Kluyveromyces lactis: one gene and its partners. The protein of the gene in region 4 purifies or fractionates together with the protein of the main gene of each other region. This does not show direct contact. Links are inferred from orthologs where the notes say so. Each region holds a gene or a part of one and is shown on either strand. Other genes may lie near its edges.

Evidence for each region.
Region 1: the proteins of TPD3 (region 4) and CDC55 purify together in Saccharomyces cerevisiae (affinity purification with western blotting; 14 studies listed by BioGRID, with this or other methods). This does not show direct contact. The link is inferred for Kluyveromyces lactis from reciprocal best matches to the Saccharomyces cerevisiae genes TPD3 and CDC55.
Region 2: the proteins of TPD3 (region 4) and RRD2 purify together in Saccharomyces cerevisiae (affinity purification with western blotting; 4 studies listed by BioGRID, with this or other methods). This does not show direct contact. The link is inferred for Kluyveromyces lactis from reciprocal best matches to the Saccharomyces cerevisiae genes TPD3 and RRD2.
Region 3: the proteins of TPD3 (region 4) and RTS3 purify together in Saccharomyces cerevisiae (affinity purification with mass spectrometry; 4 studies listed by BioGRID). This does not show direct contact. The link is inferred for Kluyveromyces lactis from reciprocal best matches to the Saccharomyces cerevisiae genes TPD3 and RTS3.
Region 5: the proteins of TPD3 (region 4) and PPG1 purify together in Saccharomyces cerevisiae (affinity purification with mass spectrometry; 5 studies listed by BioGRID, with this or other methods). This does not show direct contact. The link is inferred for Kluyveromyces lactis from reciprocal best matches to the Saccharomyces cerevisiae genes TPD3 and PPG1.

The regions. Positions count from the first base shown.
Region 1 is NC_006042.1:840,713-845,480, reverse strand, and holds CDC55 (protein phosphatase 2A regulatory subunit CDC55), read right to left. Parts: upstream 2,891-4,768; coding exon 1,532-2,890; downstream 1-1,531. Other genes in the region: COX13 (cytochrome c oxidase subunit VIa), read left to right, coding at 397-780.
Region 2 is NC_006042.1:1,029,923-1,034,357, reverse strand, and holds RRD2 (peptidylprolyl isomerase RRD2), read right to left. Parts: upstream 2,520-4,435; coding exon 1,437-2,519; downstream 1-1,436. Other genes in the region: NuA4 histone acetyltransferase complex catalytic subunit ESA1, read left to right, coding at 15-1,334; DGA1 (diacylglycerol O-acyltransferase), read right to left, coding at 2,961-4,199. UniProt on the Saccharomyces cerevisiae protein: PPIases accelerate the folding of proteins. It catalyzes the cis-trans isomerization of proline imidic peptide bonds in oligopeptides.
Region 3 is NC_006039.1:994,642-998,824, forward strand, and holds RTS3 (Rts3p), read right to left. Parts: upstream 1,889-4,183; coding exon 977-1,888; downstream 1-976. Other genes in the region: KLLA0_C11561g (uncharacterized protein), read right to left, coding at 3,225-4,183. UniProt on the Saccharomyces cerevisiae protein: May be a component of a protein phosphatase type 2A (PP2A) complex. Negatively regulates SIT4 phosphatase, a modulators of caffeine sensitivity.
Region 4 is NC_006042.1:725,685-730,868, reverse strand, and holds TPD3 (protein phosphatase 2A structural subunit TPD3), read right to left. Parts: upstream 3,038-5,184; coding exon 1,205-3,037; downstream 1-1,204. Other genes in the region: KLLA0_F07711g (endonuclease III domain-containing protein), read left to right, coding at 1-1,040; PEX15 (Pex15p), read right to left, coding at 3,555-4,628; KLLA0_F07645g (uncharacterized protein), read left to right, coding at 5,106-5,184. UniProt on the Saccharomyces cerevisiae protein: Phosphatase 2A affects a variety of biological processes in the cell such as transcription, cell cycle progression and cellular morphogenesis, and provides an initial identification of critical substrates for this phosphatase.
Region 5 is NC_006039.1:741,678-746,136, reverse strand, and holds PPG1 (putative serine/threonine-protein kinase PPG1), read left to right. Parts: upstream 1-2,213; coding exon 2,214-3,248; downstream 3,249-4,459. Other genes in the region: mitogen-activated protein kinase kinase kinase SSK2, read right to left, coding at 1-1,583; ubiquitin-like protein HUB1, read right to left, coding at 3,383-3,607; ABZ1 (4-amino-4-deoxychorismate synthase), read left to right, coding at 3,909-4,459. UniProt on the Saccharomyces cerevisiae protein: Involved in glycogen accumulation.

The DNA of each region.
Region 1 (4,768 bases), about 110 kb from region 4:
TGTAATGTGATACCGAAATTACAACATCGAAAAAGCATGATCTTTGTCTAGTTTCTCCGTCGTGCCATTTTTGGTTTTTTATATGGAGTGGGATATGGAAATATCGCGAGAGAGATTGTGTTGATGCTAGAAAATTTTGGAGGTAGGAAAAAAAAAATTGTTTAATAGTTAGGAAAGTTCAAGTTATTAAAGCTACTCTTTCCATAATAGAAAAGGTTTTATTGGTAAGTCAAAGTACTTTTTTAAAAGAGATTTTTGTGATTAGTTTTCTTACTGTTTACAATTCATTTTACATTCATTTCGAGTTTGATATCTATTTAACGTCAACTGTGTTTGGTGAATTAATTCCATAAGGATATTCTGTTTCGAAAAGCCAGACCCTAGATATAATCAAAAATGTTCAAACAAGCCATTAGAAGAGCTTCTACTCTACCAAAGTATGCTTTGGAACCAGCTTTCGGTAAGCCAGATTTGGCTGCTGCCCAAGCTTACAAGGACTACATGAAGCACAGTACTGAGCACGCTAAGCAAACCTCTAACTTGTGGGTTAAGATCTCCATATTTGTTGCTGCTCCAGCTATTGCTCTGACCGCTGTCAACACCTACTTCGTTGAAGCTGAACACGCTGAGCACCGTGAACATTTGAAGCACGTTCCAGATGAAGAATGGCCAAGAGACTACGAATTCCAAAACTTAAGACAAAAGCCTTTCTTCTGGGGTGACGGTGACAAGACTTTGTTCTGGAACCCAGTCATTAACAGACACGTCTCTCACGATTAAACACAGTTCGATAAATGATCTCAACTTGTTGGGCTTTGGCCATTCATAATGAAATATCAAGATAGCCCCTGCCTGTGGGTTTTTTTATCTTTTAAAACACCTTTTATCAAATATCCTCAAATTATCTTCAAAAGAATTCAAACATCCGTTTAATCTGGCATTATACTTCAAAATACAACAAACATATGGATAAACTTTATAGTGGAGTTTCCACCATACAAATAATTATTATTTAACTCAAGAAGAATAAACACACTTTTTATCTTTATTGTAAATTCAGTCCTAGAAAAATAGAATAAAACACGTCACACTGTGTCAATGATCATAAGTAGATATAAGTTTCTTCATTATCAATATCTATTGTACTGAATCTGTGACAAGCAGTACATCAACTTCGATATGCTCAGCGTTATGGCAAACGTCTTTAGTAACTCAATACTTACTTTTTTTTCACGAATGATGAATACAAACTGACTTTACGTTCCAAAAACTTTAACTTTACATTGTTCCCCATTGTTAACCGAACAAAAAATAAGGGGAAAACGAAAAGTGATACGCTGGTACAGCGTATATACAACATATATCCAGAATATATCCGGAGCACACTTGAAGCTATGCCCCGAGCTATTAGTTTACCTTCGATATGTTATTTAATTCGACGAGAAAATTAGAGATTATATGTACATATGGATATACGTATGTAAAATGGCAAACTGTAACACTATTGATTACAACTTGATGAGGAGTAAAATTACAATGCCGAGAAGATGAACAAATTATTAGTGGCTGCAATGGCAACACTATTTTCTCTTGGATGCCAAGAGAAATGCAGAATGGATTTTTTGAAATCAATTTCATCACCCCATTCTTTATTTCTCGCACTTTGCTGTTGCAAACTACTCAACCTCTTTGATTTAAATGCAGTCTTATCTGCTTGTAATACAATTTCATCCATTCCAGTAGGTGCTTGATAATCGCCCGTTTTTACTACGTTGGGATAAATCATAAAGTTATTGTTGTATGATCCTGTCATTACACTTGAACTATCACCACTGAAAGCAACTTCGAATTTATCGAATATAGCATCATTTTCATAAGTATCATTTAATCTTTCTTCTAGTTGTTCATGGATATTTATCGTTTTCAATGGCTTATTATCCATGTTAATATCCCATATCTTAACGGTTAAATAATCACGAGATGCAATATAACGACCATCAGGACTGAATTTGACGTCAGATATTGATGAAGTGATTTCTGTGAAAAAATTATGACTTATTGGGTCAAGGTATTCTTCGAACACCTTAGCTCGGTAATCACAAAGAGCATTCTGTCTCATGTCGCATAATTTGATGGTCCCCTTCGATGAAGAATACATGAAAGCATTACACTGTTGAGGATGGAATTCTGCACTTGTAATGACTTCTGTTAGTTCCTCCATGTTGGCTGGTTTAATATCAACAATATTGAATGATTCGTCCGGTATATCTAAATTCCATAAGTTGATTCTCAAATCATCTGAACTGATGAACGTTTCCTGATCTGAATTCAACGATATCGAATTGATGTGATAGGTGTGAGCATTACTATAAATCTTCTTTGGTGCAGCAGCTATAATTCTATCATGTAAGGACAGCTTGGGTAACTTCAAAGTCTGCAAAGACAGTACAGCTCTTGCGCTACCGTTCCCAGCAGAGCGTCTGTGGTAGTCTTTATTTCCCTCTGATAGATTGTTATCACTAACCAATTTGATATTTTTCTCATATATCTTCCACAACTTAATCGTCTTATCGTTTGTACTTAACAAGAAATGCGATTGGTTCGTTGGCCGACACCACTTGATCTGATTAATCTTCTCCTCAATCTCTAAAGATTTCAAATAATCGAATTCTGCATCGTGTGACTGAAATTCCGTTAGAAACTTGTATTCGCAATGCTTTGTATTGTTCCTTTCAAATAAAACTACACGTCCACCTCTATCACCGGTTGCAAGATAATCACCTGTATGATCGAACTCCGACGCCGTTATAATGTCTGCCTCTGTAACCACGATATCTGCTTTATCACCAAAGCATTGACTGAACTTGAAATCGAACCCGTGCTGTGACATATCTCTTACCAACGCTTCCTATCGAGGAATCTAATAAAACACACGCGTCCAATACAGATAAAACAACTGATCCCAGCTAAACTGCTTTTCAGAAATAAAACAAAAGGTTTAAACCAAGTCGAAACAAAAGATGTACACTGGAATTGGCCACCAGACTACAGTAACAGATAAGTATACGCAATCAGATCTTTTTCTTTTCAGTTTTCTTTCAACTGTAGGGAAATCTGATTTTGAGAAAGGGGAATAGAAGTAAAACCCAAAATTCGCACTTAAAACTTGCTATTAACGTGTATTGTGACGAGCTCACCAACAATTACTGTGCTTGGGAACACTTGAATTCTCAAAGACGATTGTAAGGTACCGTGTCAACGGTGTTTTAACTTCAAGGAAGAACCCTTTTTCCTTCTTTACACTTTTTTAACTAGAAAACTTTAATGTTTCCGATTTCCTAAAACTTTTCTTTGGAAGAAAAAAATCAGAATTCGACGATTTCACGATTTTCTTGATAAAAGAAGGAAAAATCGATTGATTTGTGGGTAGAAAACTGCAGGCACTTCACGTGAGAACGGTTGACGGGGTACAGTAAAGCACTTTACGAGCGTCAGAAATGTAACAGTTGAGCTGGCTCTAACAAATAGCGATGCAAATAATAATGCTGTTATTTTGTAGATTTAAAAAAGAGAGGCTAAAAGACGCTTAGAACGATTCGAAGAATTCTTCTTTTTTTGCCTCTGCAATACGTAAATCTAGTAAATGGAAAGGGTTTACCAGAGGATACTTGACTATTTTAAACTTGGGAATATCTAGAGTACGATTAATTGGGGGTACTCTGGGGAAGCTTTGCGAAGGATTTTCAGCGTTAAACAAAACGATAAAAAGGAATACGTGTGTCCAATTGGCAAATTTCTCACTGTAACTATCAATCCAGCTGTCTTACAGTAGAGAAGCAATCAATAATGTGTTCTAAGTTCCAATAAAAAGTAAGAATCATTAACTGAAAACAGACACTTCTTGTTTGTTTTAAAAGGGAAACTATAGCTTTGCAAATGTAGTGAAGAAAAGACTATCAAATGAATGATGTATATTTGCTTTTAGTAATTTGTTGCTGCTCTCTTATTAAACGTTATATGACCAAAAGTGTAGTGAATCTGAGCGTCAAATAAGGGAACTTGATGATTAAAAAAGAAGCAAAGAAACAGCGGCAATTATAATAGCTTGTATCAATTATTCCTGTATGTAACACACTTGCTGCTACAACCGCTTAGGACTCGATTGTGCTGATAGCTCTCTGGTGTGTGTGTGTGTATCTTCCTGACACCTTCGGTAAGTATATCATTCTTTAAGGGGTGGTTCTGTGCATTCTTTCCTTAAATCTGAGTTTTCCCTTTATTTTATTTTTTATTTTTTTTGAATGCTGCAGAAGGACTACGTCAAATTCATTATAATTATCAATAAGGTTCCTATATCCATAGCTTTCACAATAAAAGAGAGTGTGTATATGTATGTATGCATTGACTAGTATAAATATATATATATATATATATATATATTTAGGACAATTCGTGAGTTCGAAGTCTATTCGCTGTTCAAGATTCTGTGTCACTCAGAAGCGTGTCTTCTTCGTTTTGTGACTTAAGTAGCGCATATTTGGACACAAGTTTCCGTAACTGTTCCACGCTTACAGGTTTTTCCAAGACATCATCAAACACCTTAGATTCTTTGGCGTCGTGATAATAGACTGTTAAGGCTACTATTGGTGTCGTGCAATTGACACTATTGGTATGTCTTATAAGTTTTGCTATATCGATTGCGCCTAATTTTGGAAGTTTCATTGCTGTGATGATTAGGTCAAACTTTACGCCTGTTGTGGCACGACGA
Region 2 (4,435 bases), about 300 kb from region 4:
GAGCTCGCTAATACATGAGTCACGGCGAAGAAAAGGAACCTGGGATTCCCCAGAAGGTTGACAGCATCGATGAGATTTTCGTTGGATGCAAGTCATGGGTACTAAAAGATGGTCAAGATCGTCTTGCTGAAATTCTATCCATTAACAGCAGAAGAGATCCACCTAAGTTCTACGTGCATTATGAAGACTTCAATAAACGTCTAGATGAATGGATCACTGCTGATAGGTTACAGATAGACAAGGAAGTCATTTTTCCTAGGCCTAAAGAGCTTGAAGAGAAGAAAGACTCGAAGAAAAAGAAGCAGCAACAGAATAAAAGTGCTACACCACAAGCAGCCAGTGCTACTCCGGATGGTGGGGATGTGATGGATTTGGATAATTTGAATGTACAAGGGATTCCTAATGAAGATATTTCCAGAGAAGATGAAATAAAGAAGCTTCGTACATCGGGGTCAATGACACAGAATCAGAATGAGGTGGCTAGAGTTAGAAATTTGAACAAGGTGATTATGGGCAAATATGAAATAGAGCCATGGTACTTTTCACCTTATCCAATAGAGTTGACTGATGAGGATGTGGTATATATCGATGATTTTTCCCTACAATATTTCGGATCAAAGAAACAATATGAACGATACAGAAAGAAATGTACTCTACGACATCCTCCAGGTAACGAGATATATAGAGATGACTATGTTTCCTTCTTTGAAATTGATGGTCGGAAACAGAGGACATGGTGCCGTAATCTATGTCTTTTGTCTAAACTTTTCTTGGATCATAAAACGTTGTACTATGATGTTGATCCATTTTTATTTTACTGTATGACTAGGCGTGATGAACTAGGCCATCATATTGTCGGTTATTTCTCAAAGGAAAAGGAATCAGCTGATGCTTATAATGTGGCATGTATTTTAACACTACCTCAATATCAAAGAATGGGTTACGGTAGACTATTAATCGAGTTTTCTTATGAGTTATCTAAGAAAGAGGGTAAAGTCGGATCACCAGAAAAGCCGTTATCGGATTTGGGTTTGTTATCTTACAGAGCATACTGGGCCGACACCTTGATTAAGCTTTTGGTAGAGCACGGCCAGGAAATCACCATCGATGAAGTTAGTTCAATTTCCTCTATGACTACCACTGATATTCTTCATACTGCAAAAGCCTTAGAAATATTAAGGTTCTATCGAGGTCAGCATGTACTGTATTTGAATAGCGATGTGATGAAAAGGTACAAAAAGCTAAAGAATAATAAGAGGAGATCTATAGATCCTCAAAAATTAATCTGGACACCCCCAGTATTTACCGCTTCACAATTACGTTTCGCATGGTAAATAATGCATCGTGAATTGCGGTCTATGTTATTGTTTGTTAACGTTATGTTGGTATATATAAGGGTAGTTAAGTTTCGGTATACGCATCATATGTAATATTATTCAATCAAAAGGAAATAGTCTTACGTCTTTATTAGCCATTTGAGATGCCGCAATCGCACTAGGGACTGCAATACCGCAACAATCCGCCCAAGTACTATGACCATGCGATCCATCAGTACAGCATGAATCATCTTCATGATGATCTTGTGCGCGTGCTGATGGTTCACTAACGCCCTCGGGACATTTCAAGAAATATCCGAAATAGAAATGCTGCATGATTGGTAATTTTTGTAGAACCTCTGCCTTATACATTTTTACCATGCCTTCAGCAACTTTTGACCACCGTTTCACCCCGCTTATATCATCCAACATAGGTGAATGCCATCTCAAACTAGCTGTGGTTTTAACTTTATTAATGAATGCAATGCAGCCGAAATATAGATACCTGTCTTGGAACATTTCTACGACTTCTGGATTGTGAATTGATTTTGGTTTCAAATGCTTATGAGTGGATAGTTGGAATGCACCGAAAAGAAAAGGTAAAAAGTGATAGTCATCTAGACCCCAAACACCATGAGAACCAGCAGGCTCCAACCAGTATTTGAGCTCAAGTGATCTCATTATCCCCAAATATTTAATGAAAAGCATCAATACAATATTCGAGCTGTCGTTCTCCAGATCAAATACCTTTGATTCTGTCAAGCAGTACAAGAAACATATGAAGTTCAATTCATGACCGGAACCATAATCAATCCTTGACCTATCCCCCCAAGAGTTAATGAAATACGTACAAATGTCATCCAACTTCCCTGTGTCAGGTTTTTCAATGCCTTCAAATATCTTTGATATTAGCTCATTAGAGTGCTCCGAAATGTCATCATAAAAATCCCTAAATTCGATCTTACCGAATCTCGAGGTATTAGCATCTTTGATAACCTCATGCTTCCCAATGATTTCTGTTACTTTTGATAACAAGTTAGAGACTCTTTGGACGTTATCACTAATTGGTTGAGTGTAATCATTGTTCTCTCTGCCCCGTACACTCAATGCCAAGGTATTAATAAATCCAATCACGTCTTCAAACGTCTTGGAGTTATTCCATAACTCCATATCATGCTCGTTAATTAATCTCTTAATAGCCATGATTTAGCTGGAAATGCTGGTTGCAATCGTATTGCGTCGTGTACAGCTCTACTTCTGTGATGCTAAGAGCCATCCTTTAATCTTTTTCTTACTAAAAAGGTTCTAAAATATGTTCGGTTTCTTATAGTCCCGAAACGATTTGTTACGGTAGGTAAACAACCTGCACGGAATATAAATAAGTGGGAAAGGATATATATTGATCGACTAAAGAAGGATGTCACTGTTGATGAGTTACGTGAGAATTTGTTAGTGACAGAGTAAGGAAACGGTGAGACTGAGTACAACTCACAAAAGCGGAGGTTTTTTCGTTTTAGCAAGGTTTGGATTATTTTACTTTTAATTGTAGTGTCTGGTGGTAATGCAGATATATAGAGACAATACTGAATGCTGCCTCACCGTCGAGGCAGTATCATATTTTATTTAGTTTTTTGGTAAAGAGTTTCATTCCACTATATTTAAAGTTTTTTCTGAATAGTTAAATTTTGCCTTGTTATCATCGTAAAGACGTTTCAATTCTTCAATGTATAAGGAATGGTAATGATCAATCTCCTCAATTGTTGGATGATCTATCTTTTCTTTAATATGAATAGGGTTTCCAACAACAACATTGACTGGATGTCTAAACGGTAGTAAACCAAAATCATAATTGAATACACCACGAGCGAAAAATAGAGGGACAGTGAAGCTGTAGTTCTCTTTAAGCCATATCTGTATCCTGCCTATTATAGAGTCATTTTTAAGCTTCAGAATCTTGTAAGTATCAGTTTCACCAAATCCATACACAGGTACAAGACTCACATTCCCAGTTTGCAAAGCCAACTTCACAAAACCTTTCCGCTTGCTTAAAATGATATCAGATGAACCAAGGTTAGTAAGAAGGGATTCACTGGCACCTCCAATTACGATGGCTATTGAATAATTTTTCTCAAGTACTTTCATAGCATTTTTTCTAGCGACCGATGTTATGCCTAAGGCCAATAAATAATCACGGTACACTGGTATTTGAAATTGATTTACCAAAGTAAGCAAACACACTGGAATGCCTGGGAAAACTTTACTCCAATTACATGCCTCGGTAGCGAATGCTCCAAACGCTCCGAATGCTGCTATACCATGTGGATGGTAGCCAAAAATATACCTCGGTCCTGTTGGTCTAACAGTTTCATCCTTTTCTCTGAAAGGATTCCACCATTTATCTGGTAAAACGGGCTGTGAGCTATCCAGGTAGCCTGGCTCACTCGCATCATTTTCCAGCTCTGTGGAATCAATACTTGTAAATGTTGGCTCGAGTTCAGTGCTTTTGTGCATACTTATAGGGAAGTAATCACGGAAATAAAACCAGACCTTTAGAGATCGGAACCACTTGGAGTGTCTCTTCACAGCGTTCCCATTGGAGGCAGTCCGGTCTATGAAATAATAAATGGTGTATGGTATTACAAACGACCACATCAACGGGTTAACCCAAACAAACAACATTATGATGATCATTAACGGAATACATTCGACATACCATGCTACGCTGAGAGTTTGAAGTCTCCTTTCTATGGGCGTATCAATAGCACAAAATTCTGGTTTCCCATCTTTGGAGACCCCTACTACAGAAGATTTACCATTTGCCACGGGTTGTGAACCCTTGCGTACCTTTTTAGTTTGTCTCTTTCTGATTTGTTCCTTACCCATCTTGTTCCAAGCCTCGAAGTAACTTTAATTACCTAGCAGCGAACCTTCTCAAAGTAAAACAGATAAGCTGATATTTACGTCTATTCTCAGAAGTAAATGATATTAGACGTTCAAGTTCAACAAAAAATGAACCTGCCCAGCTTTTGTCGATTAATTGTATCTTTGTTTACTGAGGCAAAACATTGCCTGATGTCGTTTTCCTGTTTTAAAGCAACTTTTTCCCTTAAAATAAAACT
Region 3 (4,183 bases), on a different chromosome or scaffold from region 4:
TTTAAGGTATTGCGATGTGAGTTGTTGTATACTGAAGGGTCTACCTGAAATTAATAAGTATCAAACCAAGTTGGCTAAAGTAGAAACAGAATAAGGATTAGTTTCCATAAAGAGTTTTCGATAGCGGTAGAATTCAGTCACTTTATATACAATAAGACTGACATGAATCACGATACATACGATCAGAATCTAGGTCAAAATTAATAGTCGTCCCGTTTCAACAAGAAACACGAGTTACATGAAAACATCTATTTATTTGTTTCCTGTTTATAGTTTGTAGTTGGCTTGTTGTTCTGACAGCCTTCTATCGCAGAAATAAGCTGCTTCGGAATTCTATGCTTTACTTTGACCTCTGCAAACCAACACAGGATACAGATCTATCGCCTCTTTGTCTACCAAAAATATTGTTGATTTCAGTCTGTCATTATAACCAGAAAAGGAAATTACAAAGAACGTCAAAAAAAAAGAAGTCACCAGCCTAATAGCGTGAATAAGCTTCAGGAGATTGACCACACACAGATGAAACAGTCACTGATCACATTTTCAAAGTTTTAGATCATCCTGAAACATACTCACTATTATACCGTACTAAAAAATATCCTTTCTAAATTTTCCGTTCTATCAAGCACACCTACAGGATGCAGAAGGGGAGTAGAATCGTTCTTACTTCGGTAAAAGAACGGTGAGTAAATTTAAATCTATGTAGTGTATAAGCGGTAAAATAGAGAGTTCTAGCCACCGAAGGTTATCACCATAGTGGGTAATATATATAAGGGGAGATGGGAGAAAACCGTGGGGATCCACTATTTAGGAATAGAATTCAACTTGAAATTGGGTAATGAAAAAAAAAAAAGCAAAGGCTAAATTACCCATCTTACCTGGACCTCTCATATGTGATCCTTACGAACTAGTAGGGGAAACGGGAGGGTCTGTAACCTCACTTAATAGAATTGAAAATAATAAGTATAATTTTGCTTCATCTTGCAACGGTAACTGAAGTTGTAGGAGAGCCTGCTCTTTTCGGTATCTTGCTAACAGAAGAGGGAGACAACGACATTGTATCTGACTCTTCCATAGGTCTGCCAGATGATCGTCTCCTTCTTGAACCACACATAATAGAGGATGCTCTGCGTGGTAAAGATTCGATACCTGTAGATAAATTCGGAGTTAACATTGTGCTGCCAGTTCTCAAAGTGGGGGAGTAACCTTCCATGAAATCAATTTCGTTTTTTGTAACTGAGTTACGTTTCCGTTGCAATTCTGGTGTTAAGTTATCCAGCAGTTGTGATGACGAAGATGGTCGTCTTGAATTTGCCGCACTAGAAGTACCTGTTATGTTACCCATTCCAACGCCCAGTAAGCCTGACGTCGACTGTTGTTGTGACGACAATTGTAACTGACTTAAGGACGAAGAGCTCGAGGAATTCGGTCTGGATGCCGACACTGGGTCGAGACTCATTGAAACGTCCGAATTATGCAGATTACTTGACAATTGGTTCAAAGACCGCCTCAACCGTACGTTCTCCTCTCTCAACAAATCTATCTCTTTCAACAGTCTCATCACCATCGCATCTTGTTCTTTTTCCATTTGATTGATAATCTCCTCGCTTGACAAGCGTCTACCAGAATGATGAGGAGGATGGAATGATCCAGGAGATGGTGGTGTACTATAAGCCGATGATTGTGACCCACGCTTAGTCCGCTTTGCAGTCTTGCCAGGGGAGGGAACCCTAAAAAAAGGCTTCTTCCTGAAGTCATCTTCTGATTCACTATCAGTAACAACAGCAATGGTATCTTGTGGTCTCATACCTTTTTGATCTGGTTTCTTCAATCCTAAAAACTTATTCTCACTTAACTCCGTACTCAACTGTGGTCTGTTCATATTCATCTTTGACAATCTCTTAAGAATAGTTCAACCTTTTGTAATTTTCAGATTTGTTTTTTAAACTTCTCGAGAAATCGCTACCACAATATTAATGATCTCTCTCTTTCTAACGTCTTTTTATCCTATTGCCTTTAGTTTCTAACTAACTTCTCCTTTTAACTAATTTGTCTTGTCTTCACGTCTTGCACTATCCAAATCGTTATCTATATGTGAATGACTTAAGGGGACAAAGGATTAATCAGCTTTTTTCTTTTTTCCTCTTTGGTCTTTTTTTTTTATCTTTCCTACTGTATTACAAAGATCAAACACAAGCTTACAAAAACTAACAATAATACGTATATACACATATCAGTAATTATTAATGATATATATACATTGGGCATATAAAGTGAAAAACGTGCAACTAAATGTTTCTCATAAACAATGGGAATTAGCAGGATACTTTTATACTGCATGGTTGATCGTATCAGGCACATCAATTCAACATTAGCTCAACATCAGGACACATTTCCAATGCTTTGATCTAAGCCTAATAGTTGTCATTGACGAAACCATTACTCTTACTTTTCCTGTATAGCTGTCATCTTTACGCTTTTTGTTCTTGATTTTTCCATAGTAACTGATGGATTTTTCTTAGTTTCATTCAACAGAAGTGATATCTTATACGAAGCGTGACAGAAAGCTGTCACAAAGGTTAGGAATTACAGAGTCAATTGAGAGCATTTTCCTTTTTTTTCTTCTTCCGTTGAGACTACGAATTTACGTTGAGACTTTGATAGGGTTCGGCCTGTTGAGAGATTTGTAAGTAATAACGAGGCTTAATATTTTTAGTTAACATTTTTCTTGTATGCAGGTAAGGCTTACAAAGACCAGGTCATTTTTTTTTTTTTTTTTTTTGGTTTATTTTTGGTCTTGGTCTTAGTTTTCGTGGAAACTCTTAGAGTCAGCCGGGGGTGAGTAGTTGGCAGGGATGTGGCTCGTTCAAGGATGCTGTGAAAGACGGAATGTTGATTGTCATTCAAAACCTAAATTTTGGACGGTCCTTGTTCTAGTAGAAGGGGGATTGTAGGATGGGATTATCATTATAATACATTTAGAAACGTTATGGGTCAATTCTAGGCCTTATACAGTATTTAGTTAGAAGTAGTACCCGTTGTTACGGTCAGTGAGCGGTGTTTGATTTTTTTTCAGTTTTGAGAAGAAGATTATCTCCGTATTCATTGAGTGTTTATCCAGCCTGTGAGATGAGGTGGATGTGGGGTGGGGGTGTGGGTGTGGGTAGATGAACTCCGAATTCAACAGTTATTGTAATTTCCCACTTCTTGTTCTGTTATTTGTCTTACCTCTGGTTCACGTGACCATTACTGTACACATTTGGATCATGGTTGGGGTCGATGTCAGGTACTGAAAGGGAAGGGTTTAGGTTTAGGACGTTGCTTGCTGCCGAGACGGCAGCAGCGGCGGCCGCAGCAGCAGCAGCAGCATTGTTGGAACCATCATTTTGGTCACTTTGAGTACTCTCCGTATCATCGGTCCTTGAATGCTGGATATCCAAGTATCTAACAACTTTTTTGAGTAGCGCGTCGTGACTTTCCAACATCTTGGTTAACTTCTCAACGTTTTCATTTATTTTGTTCAAAGTTTTGTTGGTAATATCATCTGTGGGTGAAGAAGTACCGCTAAATTTCCGTTTCCTTATCAGATTTGATGAGCTGAGACGATGTAGATCGTTGTGAATACGTTGTTGCTGCGGATTGTGGTGGTTATGGTGGTAGAAATGGCTCGAGGACGACAAGGAATTGTTTCTGATGCCAATTTTATTGCTGTTAGATACCATCGCGTGTGAGTCCTCGTCGCTGCTGTTACCGGTGATATTACCATCATCGATTTCAAGAGGCTCCATGAGACTTAACCTTTTCCGATTTGAGCTATCCCTTTGTTTAGCAGCCTCCAACGCAGTGTTGTATTCTGATATTATCTGTTTGACATTTTCTGGCAACATCTCCCCTTGAGTCTTGAAAGTGTACACTATTTGATCCATCCGCTTACGCATGTGTTTGGGATCGGAAAAGGGGAATCCAGTCCTTTCCTTGAATAGCAAATACGCCTTGGAGTAATTTACATGGTTGGAGCTGTTCAATTGATCGATAAATATTTGCATCAATTCACAGTCTCTATCTGAATTGATATTAAACCAGTCACGTGCAATGAATCTTCTATCATTCTTTGAAGCGATACTGCCATTAGTCTGGTTGTGATGATGCATGCTTCCATTCTGCTGGTCATGTCCCGATAACC
Region 4 (5,184 bases):
TCGAGGCAATAAAAACTATGGGTACAGATGAGTACTTTAAATATGTGCAAAAATTCACTAATGATGACATCTCCCTTAATAGAAAGCTTCAGATCGAGGACAACCCTAATATGCCTTCGAATTTTGTGTCGATATACTCGAAAGTAAGGTTTATGAGATCGATGATAAAGACTCCAGTAGACAATGTTGGATGTGCAATGCTGCCAATTACCATAAACGGTGTATTTGGAATATCAAAGTCAAATATGCAACCTAAGAACTACAGATTACAACTTTTAGTTTCTTTGATGTTATCTTCACAGACCAAAGATGAGGTAAATGCCAAGGCTATGCATAATATAATGGAATATTGTATGGAGGAGTTAGGTGATCCGGAAGGTATCACCTTGGGCTCGTTACTCAAGATTGAGGAGAAAATTCTAGACAAAGAAATTTACAGCGTTGGGTTCCACACAAGGAAAGCTTCCTACATTAAAAAGGCTGCTGTCATGCTCCGAGATCAATTTGACGGTGATGTACCCACCACAATAGAAGGCTTCATGTCATTACCGGGAGTAGGACCGAAAATGGGATATTTAGCTTTACAAAAATCGTGGGCCAAGATCGATGGTATTGGGGTTGATGTTCATGTTGATAGGCTTGCAAAGATGTGGAAGTGGGTTGATCCTAAAGTCTGTAAGACACCTGAACATACTAGAAAACAGTTAGAGTCATGGCTACCGAGATCTTTGTGGTATGAAATAAATCCAGTATTGGTGGGCTTTGGACAGGTACTCTGCATGCCAAGGAGCAAAAGGTGTGAATTATGTCTTGTGAACGATATTTGCCCAGGGGTTGACAAAAAATTACTGAAACTAGTCGGTTTGGAGCTTGAAGATACGGTGAAGAACAGCAACAGGGGTGATTACACGGAATGGATAAATTACCTTAGAAAAGAGAGAGCAGCTGAACTCTCGCAGAATGAGATTGATGATGTGGATAGAAGTGCGGAAACTACCTCTACGGAATCGAATACTGAAGTGAAAACCGAGGATAACTGATTTATTGAGTACATAATTAGATATCGCGCGTAACAAATCCAGTACTAATTCTAGTACTAATTCTAGTACTATGCCGCCACTTAAAACATGCCATAGTAAAGTGTAGATAAATGTGATAATTATTCATGTTTATATAGATGTTGCCCTATAATATTCTGCTACGCTTAGGACAAGAAGGATTTACATTTTTCTAAACTCTGTGCAGAGAAAAACCTTACGTCGACATCAGGATCTTGACATAGTTTTTCTAGTGTTGGAATAATGGTATTATTGATTAGTTCAATGTGATTCTTATTAGTATTTTTCGTTAACGCTTCTACGATGACAGCGTAGAACTTTGCAACGTTAAATCTAATGTTTGGAACGTTATCTGTGGATAAGTGATTTACGAATGGTAGAATCTTTTCGACAACAACGTCTGTGGAGACAACGGGGACCAACCCAGTTAATGCAAATAGTAGAGTGATTCTATAGTTGAAGTTTTCTAACAGTTGAGTGTCCGACTTTAGTAAACGAGAAATGATTTCTTCTTGTGCCCAATCTGAACCAAAGATTTCAGTTAGTTTACTTAGATTTGTGATAGCAGCACTTCTGATAGAGTAAACACCGTCCCACAACCACGATAGACACAAATCACTTAGTTTAGAATCAAAGAATTCCATCCCCAACTGTTCTGCGAGAAGAGGAATATATTCAATAATGGCCAATCTTACTCTCCAATTGGGGTCCTTAGCAAGCTCTGTAATGGCGGGTAGCAAATTCTCAGATAGAAATTCGATTCCGACAGATTCATTGACGATTTTCAATTTGGCAATGATATTCAAACGGACATCTGGGAATTCATCTTTCAACATATGTAGAAGTATTGGAACTAAACTATCCATTGAGTCTTGCTTTGGTAGCAAAGGCGCCAAGTTTGTAATCTCCAAAGCCAAAGAAGCCCTTACACATTCTGTTTCATCGATGCTTAGATTCTGAGCAGCAGGTATAATTCTATTTAAGATAACAGATGGGTCATTAAGCAATTTTGCGTAGCCAGGAATTTGTTTTGCGATGGCTTTCCTGACATCACTTTCGTTATCTTGACACAAAGCTAAGAATGGTTCTAACAATTCGCTGACATATTGTGGATTCGAAACGAACTGAGAAGCAAGTTCCTCGAATCTATCAGCAGCCATGTACCTAACTCTCCATGCTTCGTCCCCGATTAATTGAATGGAAGATTGTAATAGATCCTTCGTATGTGTGAAGTCCTTTTTCTTATTGAAAAATTTCAAGATTGAGATCAAGACATCAACAGCCAAAAATTTCACCGAATCCTGAGAATCATTGACCAATCTTTGGAACATACTAGAGATATAGTCCCATTCGTCATCTGTTGACAATTCTGGATGCTCAGTCAATTGGTCAACAAGGGTAGGTAAGTTTCTGCCCGCAGCTCTTCTAACCATTGGAGTATCATCCTGTATCAATTGCAAGAACAACGATAACAAATCTTTTCTAAACTTATCATCCTGAATTCTAACGAAAACTGCTTTGAACAACCCACAAGCTGATACTTTGGAAGAAAACCATTCATTGGTGGCAAGATTTTCAATCAAAGGCACAAAATCATGCAGCAATTGTTCCTCAGTCAACTGTTCGGCTACCATATTTAATGAATCAACTGCTTTTTCTCTCACCAACGTCTCTTCGGTTGATGCAAGAATCTCCAAAGCAGGCAATAGCAGAGTGGCATATTTTCTACCTCCAACAAACGGCACAAAATTACCTAATTGTTCAGCCAAGACTGCAAACACTTCATCTTCATCATCCTGAGCCACTTCGGTTAGAAATGGAATCAATTCATCACGCGTCCTTTGAACGCCCAAGGCTAAAGCAATGGTGTCCAGTTTTTTCATTGCTTCAACCCTATTAGAAATATCATCGTGCTTCAATTCATCCATTAGCAAAGCTAATGGATAGAGATTCACTTTACTGTCGCTATTATCGCCCATGTTATTTCTTACACTGCTAAAAAGTTCCCCGAGCCTGTCTAAAGTTGGGTAATAATTGCGGAAATTAAATTTATTCTTGAAACTGAGAAAGAAATTTGTTAGATATTTGGCTTACCACACCGTTCTCGTTCCTCTAAATATAAGTACACTGTCTAAATTCCTGATCTTCTGGTAAAATCGAAGCCCAAACCTTTTTCTCTGCCCTCTTGTGTCCTCTCCAATTGTGAAAACATACAAAGATAGTATAACCCTAATGTTTTGTTCTTGATAAACCCAAATGTATATTTTTAATTATTTTCAAATTTCGACTTTCATCGATTTCTCACCAAACAATCCAAATCTCAGTTTCATCAAGTTTTCCTTCCTTCCACTGACGTTATGAGGGAGGAAGGGGACAAGAAGGGGGGAGAGAACCCAAAGTCACGTGATTGATGGTCTCGGTAGGGTAATGAAGATGTTCGTTGTGTAGGGTAACTTTGGATAAATATATAGATACATGAATATGTGCGTAGGCATCTCATAGCGATGCTAAAGTGTTCACTGCATGGATGAAAAGTCTTACTATGGTGGATGCTTTATCTTTGCTGTGCATCCATATGATATTGAACGTTTTTGATCTTCTTGCAAGGGGTAGTACCATTGATATTGCGAAGATAATAAGCGATGCCAGTAATTGCGGTGACCATTGTACCGATTGAGCCCAGACAGGTAACCATCTAGGTAGATAGGTTGTCAAGCGTCGTATATAGGACAAATTCATCCTTTGCGTAGATGCAGGTGCTATTACGGCTGTTGTCGACGTTGATGTAGTTGCTGCACCGATCTGGACTTGATTTTTTGGCTTCAGCGATCTACTCTTTGATTTTGGCTTCGGCTTTGGTTTAGGTTGTAGTTTTTCGCGGAAATAGGTGTCTATATCCACGGATTGAGCGTGCTTCACCTTGTTCGCCTTGAGCTTGCTCTGCAATTTGTCGTCTAGCTGACAAAATCGAGTGTACATCGTGATGCTGGCCTTCTTTTGTAACGTTTCTATTTGAACGTCAAATATCAAGAAATCTAGTATTTGACTTAGGTTTTGAATCTCAGTTACTGTTTGGCATCTTCTTGAAGTTTGTAAGAGTAGTTCCTTGCATGAAATGGATAATTCATCGATGTGTTCATAGTTTTGTTTAACGTTTCTCTTCCAAAATTTCAAGGAAGAATAGAAGAATTGGTACGTGATAATCAATTGATCACTCAACGGCTTCATCTTGATTAGTCTTAGAAGTAATTCCTCATTGGTGAACCATTCCTTCAATCGCTTATCTAGACTCGTTCCGATTACCCCAACATTATTCATTTGACTCACGCAGTCCATCATTAATTGCCATGATTTTAAGGACGTTTGCATCTTGTTGCTGTTCAACAGCCCATATTCATACATCAGTTCGAGACATTCCTTAAGGTCACCTTTTACATAGAGATCTAAGCATTCTTGCGCATGCTCTTTCTCTATATCAACAGGTTGTAAATTCAACCTGAACCGATCATCATCAAGAAGCTGTTCCAACCTCGTCGTGTCGACCACTTGAAAACTTTTCTGGCTCATCATTCTATCCGGTTATTGGACACTAACCTCTCATTATCTGTGAACCCCTTATCTTCACTCTTGCCTTTACTTGGCTCAAGAAGGTTCAGGTAAAGCTATTTCTATCAAAATAATTTATGCTGATGGTTATGCCCTTGGAATAGAAAAACTATGAACTGACATAAATTCAATAGAGTTACGATTGCATAACGCCGCAGGTTCGTCACCACCTGTTGCAGACTAATTTGAATATATTCTGGTATCTTATGGTGTCTCTGGGATAGCCTTCCTTAATTATTGGCATATGTGATTTTAGCACGTGATATTGTTTGACTTCATGAAATGGAAGAAGATTATAGAAGCTGCATTATGAACCTTGATCAATAAATGAGTTAAGATGAACCTGATAATGGGCCTTTGACACGTAACCTTACGTGTCTTGGATGTTTTTAGAGGTTCCCCTTATAGTATTAGATATCATCTTGGCAATAAGGGGCTACAATGTCATCTCCGAACGAAGATCGTCGAGAGATAGCAAGCACAGATGAACCGATCCAAGACCTATTTCTCATTAGTGAAG
Region 5 (4,459 bases), on a different chromosome or scaffold from region 4:
CCTTCGTACGAGTTTATCAACGAATTGAGTGCTTCAATTCTGCTTACAAAATTAGAGGTTTTGGTTACAGGTTTCTCGAGATTCATATTGGGGAGATTTTTCCAATATCCAACCACTTTGTAATATTTATTCAATAGTATTTTGGCTTCTTCTATGACAACTTCAGGGTTTTCTTCTTTTTCATTTTTATAGTTCAAGATTTCTTCGAATACCTCATCAGCAGTAGTTTTAGAATATTCCAATGATTTACGTTGATCTTCGACGGTTCTACCATTTAACCAAGCCTTAAGTTCTAACCATATTAGATCATTATGATTCAGTAAAATTTCATCAGGCTTGCGTTTCGCAAGTTTTGTCTTCTCACTCTTAACAATATCACCATTCAAAACGCTCGAGAGCATAGTCTGCCACTCTAGCCTTTCTCTGACTAAATGATTATTCGAGAGTTGTTCCAAAGCAAGCTGCGTTTCAATATTTGAAAAGCTCTCAAGACTGTCCGTAGAGCCACCAGTTTTATTCAACAGGTTCAATGAATTTTCTATTAGAGGGTTATTCGGTTCCACTGAGCGTAACCATTCCATCCTTTCAAGTAAGATTTTATCATTCATTAATACAAGTTCATCATCATCGATGGAATGAAAGCCTTTATCTGTTGTCGTTGCGATATTATTTCCGAAAATTGCAGAGCCCAGTCCATTATTCAATTTGCTTAGGTCATTATCAACATCATCGTTTTCTCCATCCACTCTAAAATCATCATCATCTTCATTTCCAGAAGACGTTATTCCTCGCGTGTAATAATCATCTGCTTTTTTATTTTTCATCGAGCTTAGATAAAGCTGTTCATTGAGTACGTATTGCTTTTGCAAAGGTTTGAACGATTTCGTGGTACTGGTGGTGCTATTATTCAGTGATCTAATCGATGGAGAAGACAACGTTGGAGTTAAATTTACTGTTGTAGTGGAACCATTCTGTTGTGCTGGAAAATATTGGTCCGCTGATGTGGAAACTGACATTGAACTAGCTGTTTGAGAGTTCAACGAAGCGACATTAGGCGGTACGGGATAAACCGAGGTCGATGACGGAGAATCATTGGATTGGTTCAGCGCAAATAGTTTGGAGCTTGTGAGCGAATTAGACCTTGACCTTGTTGAAAGTGCACCGCTGAGTTTGGGCGATGTTATAGTTTTCAACTGAGCTGTAGTCGGAGTCTGCGTTCCAAAGGAACCAGACACACTTGGTTTCCTTGAAGATATTGCTGAGGAGCTTGAAGAAGAAGCAGGAAAGAGCTGCCCCTGTTGATGCTGTCCATTTGGCAGAGATGTCGGAAGCGTCTGTAGAACTGGCAGTTTTTTAGTACTCAGAGTAGAATCTGATGAAAACGTAGGCGAAGCTGCTGATAAATTTCCCTTTAAAGTTTCATTTGAAGTGTCACTTGAAATCGAAGCCAGCGAATTCAGATGTGAAGTACTTCTACATTTCGAATCAGTATTGGAATTCTTATTAGAAGCCATCTTAGTCGTATATCTTTGGAATTGCTCCCTGACATATGCCTCGTCTCTGCTATCGTTGTTTTGCGACATGGCTTTAAACGACGAACTGAGAGAGGCTCAATCTAAACCAAACGTGAAGGAAAACAGATAAAGCAAAAAACAGAGCGTTACTTTGTTGTACAGTACAAACGTAAAAGTGGCCCTTTAAAAAATCCACCAATTCTCTTTCTTCCTTAAGATTGTGTAATCTCTGAAAGACCGGGAAGAATGCCCTTATAGACAATGAATTGACAAGTAGCCCCGAAAATTACAAAGCAAATCCCCTTTATTTCGAGTTTGCCGCACACCAGTTGTGTTTCTTAGCAATTATAACCTATCTTTATAACGATCTCGTCGCTGTTCTAATCCGAATGGCTGGCACACTTTAGCTACTTTGCTCGGTACCTATGAACCTTTAATTTGGTTCTTGACATGATAATTTTTTTTTTTTTAATGTTATTGATTTTTACAAAGAAAAGTTGAAATCTTTCCAGCCGTAAAGTTTGCTAAACAAAGAATATGGGGTGAACGACTCATCGCTAGGTGGTAAGGTTTATCTGTTGGGCATCTTAAGGTATTCTAGCTAGCGTTGGGATCCATGCATTAAGGGAGGATAAAATATCCCATTAGTGAGCTGTCAAAAAATTTCAATCCGTACTGAGGATATTACATATCATATTTATGGAACTCGATTGGTGTTTGGAACAGCTATATGAGGGGAAACTACTTCCTGCTGAGACGATCAGGGCGTTGTGTTTCAAATTAAAGGAATTGCTAGTGAGAGAATCTAATGTTGTTCATATCAGTACGCCTGTGACTGTTGTTGGTGACATTCACGGTCAATTCCATGATCTTTTAGAGATATTCCATATTGGTGGACCTCTGCCGTCCACAAATTACGTGTTTTTGGGTGATTATGTCGACAGAGGGTTGTACAGTGTGGAGACAATTACTTTGCTGATAACGTTAAAGCTTAGATATCCAAGCCGTATTCATCTAATTCGTGGTAATCATGAATCACGTCAGATCACCCAGAGTTATGGTTTTTATACGGAATGTTTGAACAAATTTGGCGAGGGAAGTCAAGTATGGCAGTATTTCACGGATCTATTCGATTATTTGATTCTTGCATGTATCATTGATGATACAATTTTCTGCGTTCATGGTGGACTTTCACCCAATATTCAATCCATTGATCAAATACGGATTATCGATAGGATCAGAGAAATCCCACATGATGGCGCCATGGCAGATTTGGTCTGGTCAGACCCTGAAGACGACAGAAACGATATCACTTCTTCACAATTCAAAGTCTCACCGAGAGGTGCTGGTTACACTTTCGGTAAAGCTATAGTGGACAAATTTTTTAGCATCAATGGTGTCACAAAGATGCTCAGAGCTCATCAACTATGTAACGAGGGATATCAGGATTATTTTGGAGGGAAAGTCACCACTGTTTGGTCCGCTCCCAATTACTGTTATCGTTGTGGGAATAAAGCATCTATTTTAGAATTATACTCACCAACAGACTTTCACTTTAACGTGTTCGATGAAGCTCCAGAAAATAAACTACTTACAGATCCAATGCTTAATGATAAAACTTTACATTCCTTCTTCGAAGAAGATGACGATGCACACATGGGGCAATATGACGTATTCTCCGATGAGCACCAAGCAAAATATGCTCTGAAAAGACAAGTTGACTATTTTTTATGAAGCAAATGTAACTGTATGCTTATCTCTAACTCTTTTTTCCCTTTCGCTAATGGTATAGTCCCATCTCATATTCAAATATTGAGTATAATATACAAGCTAATTTTTATAGATAAATCATATATGTTTTTACAAACTTACACATAATACAACTCCAAATTAGTTCCGTCGTGAACTTCATAATCTTCTAAAGTTATGTGATCTTTCAATACGCTACCACCTTTTTGTAGCACAATCTTGGATGCTGACGCAGTCCCCAATTGTACACTCAATACCTTCTTAAAATCACCAACAGTATCTTCGCTTAAACATTTTACATTGACTTTTTTTCCAAGACGATCGTTTACTAGTACTTCAATCATATTAAATTTGTCTATTCAAACTCAATGGTATGAAACACGGAATAAACGTGTTTAAAGAGCTTCTGTTCTTCAATCATTTAGTGCTCAGCATGTTTATAATACATTCTTTTCTATATAATTTCGTAATAGTAGAAATAAAAAAGTAAGAACTCTCTGCTCATCGACACATTTATATTACTTCTGCCACACAAGGAAGTAAACATTACCCATTGAATAGTCTTGAGCTGACAAGCAACACGATTGTCCAAAAACGTTGTTCACTAAATAGAGTACTAGTATTGGTCGTTCTTTGTGCAGACGGATGACTTTTTCTGTTTTGTTTGTGGACTCTTATGACTCGTTCACATATAATGTTGTTGAGCTGATAAAGGAGCAGGGGCAAGACATCGAGGTAATCACAATTCATAATGACACTTTTCAAAGTTACAATGAGTTGAAACCATTTTTGAGATTATTTGATGCGATTGTCATTGGTCCTGGTCCTGGTAATCCAGTGAACGGACCCACAGATATCGGTATAATTGCTTCTTTGTTTAACGATTCCGATGTTATTCCAATTCTCGGAATATGTCTTGGTTTCCAAGTCATGTGCCATGCGAATGGTGCCAGTGTTGAACAATTGGGTAATGTTAGACACGGCCAAGTATTTCAGGTTAATGTTACCGATAATAGCATTGGGCTGTACAATGGATATCCGATTGCCTTCAATTCAGTAAGATACCATTCTTTGCATGTGATTGCAGATCCTAATTCATCGACAATAATTCCATTATCAGAAACTATAGATGATGGTAAAAAAGTTCTTATGGGCGGTAGGATTAGTGGAAAACCATGGTATGGAGTGCAATATCA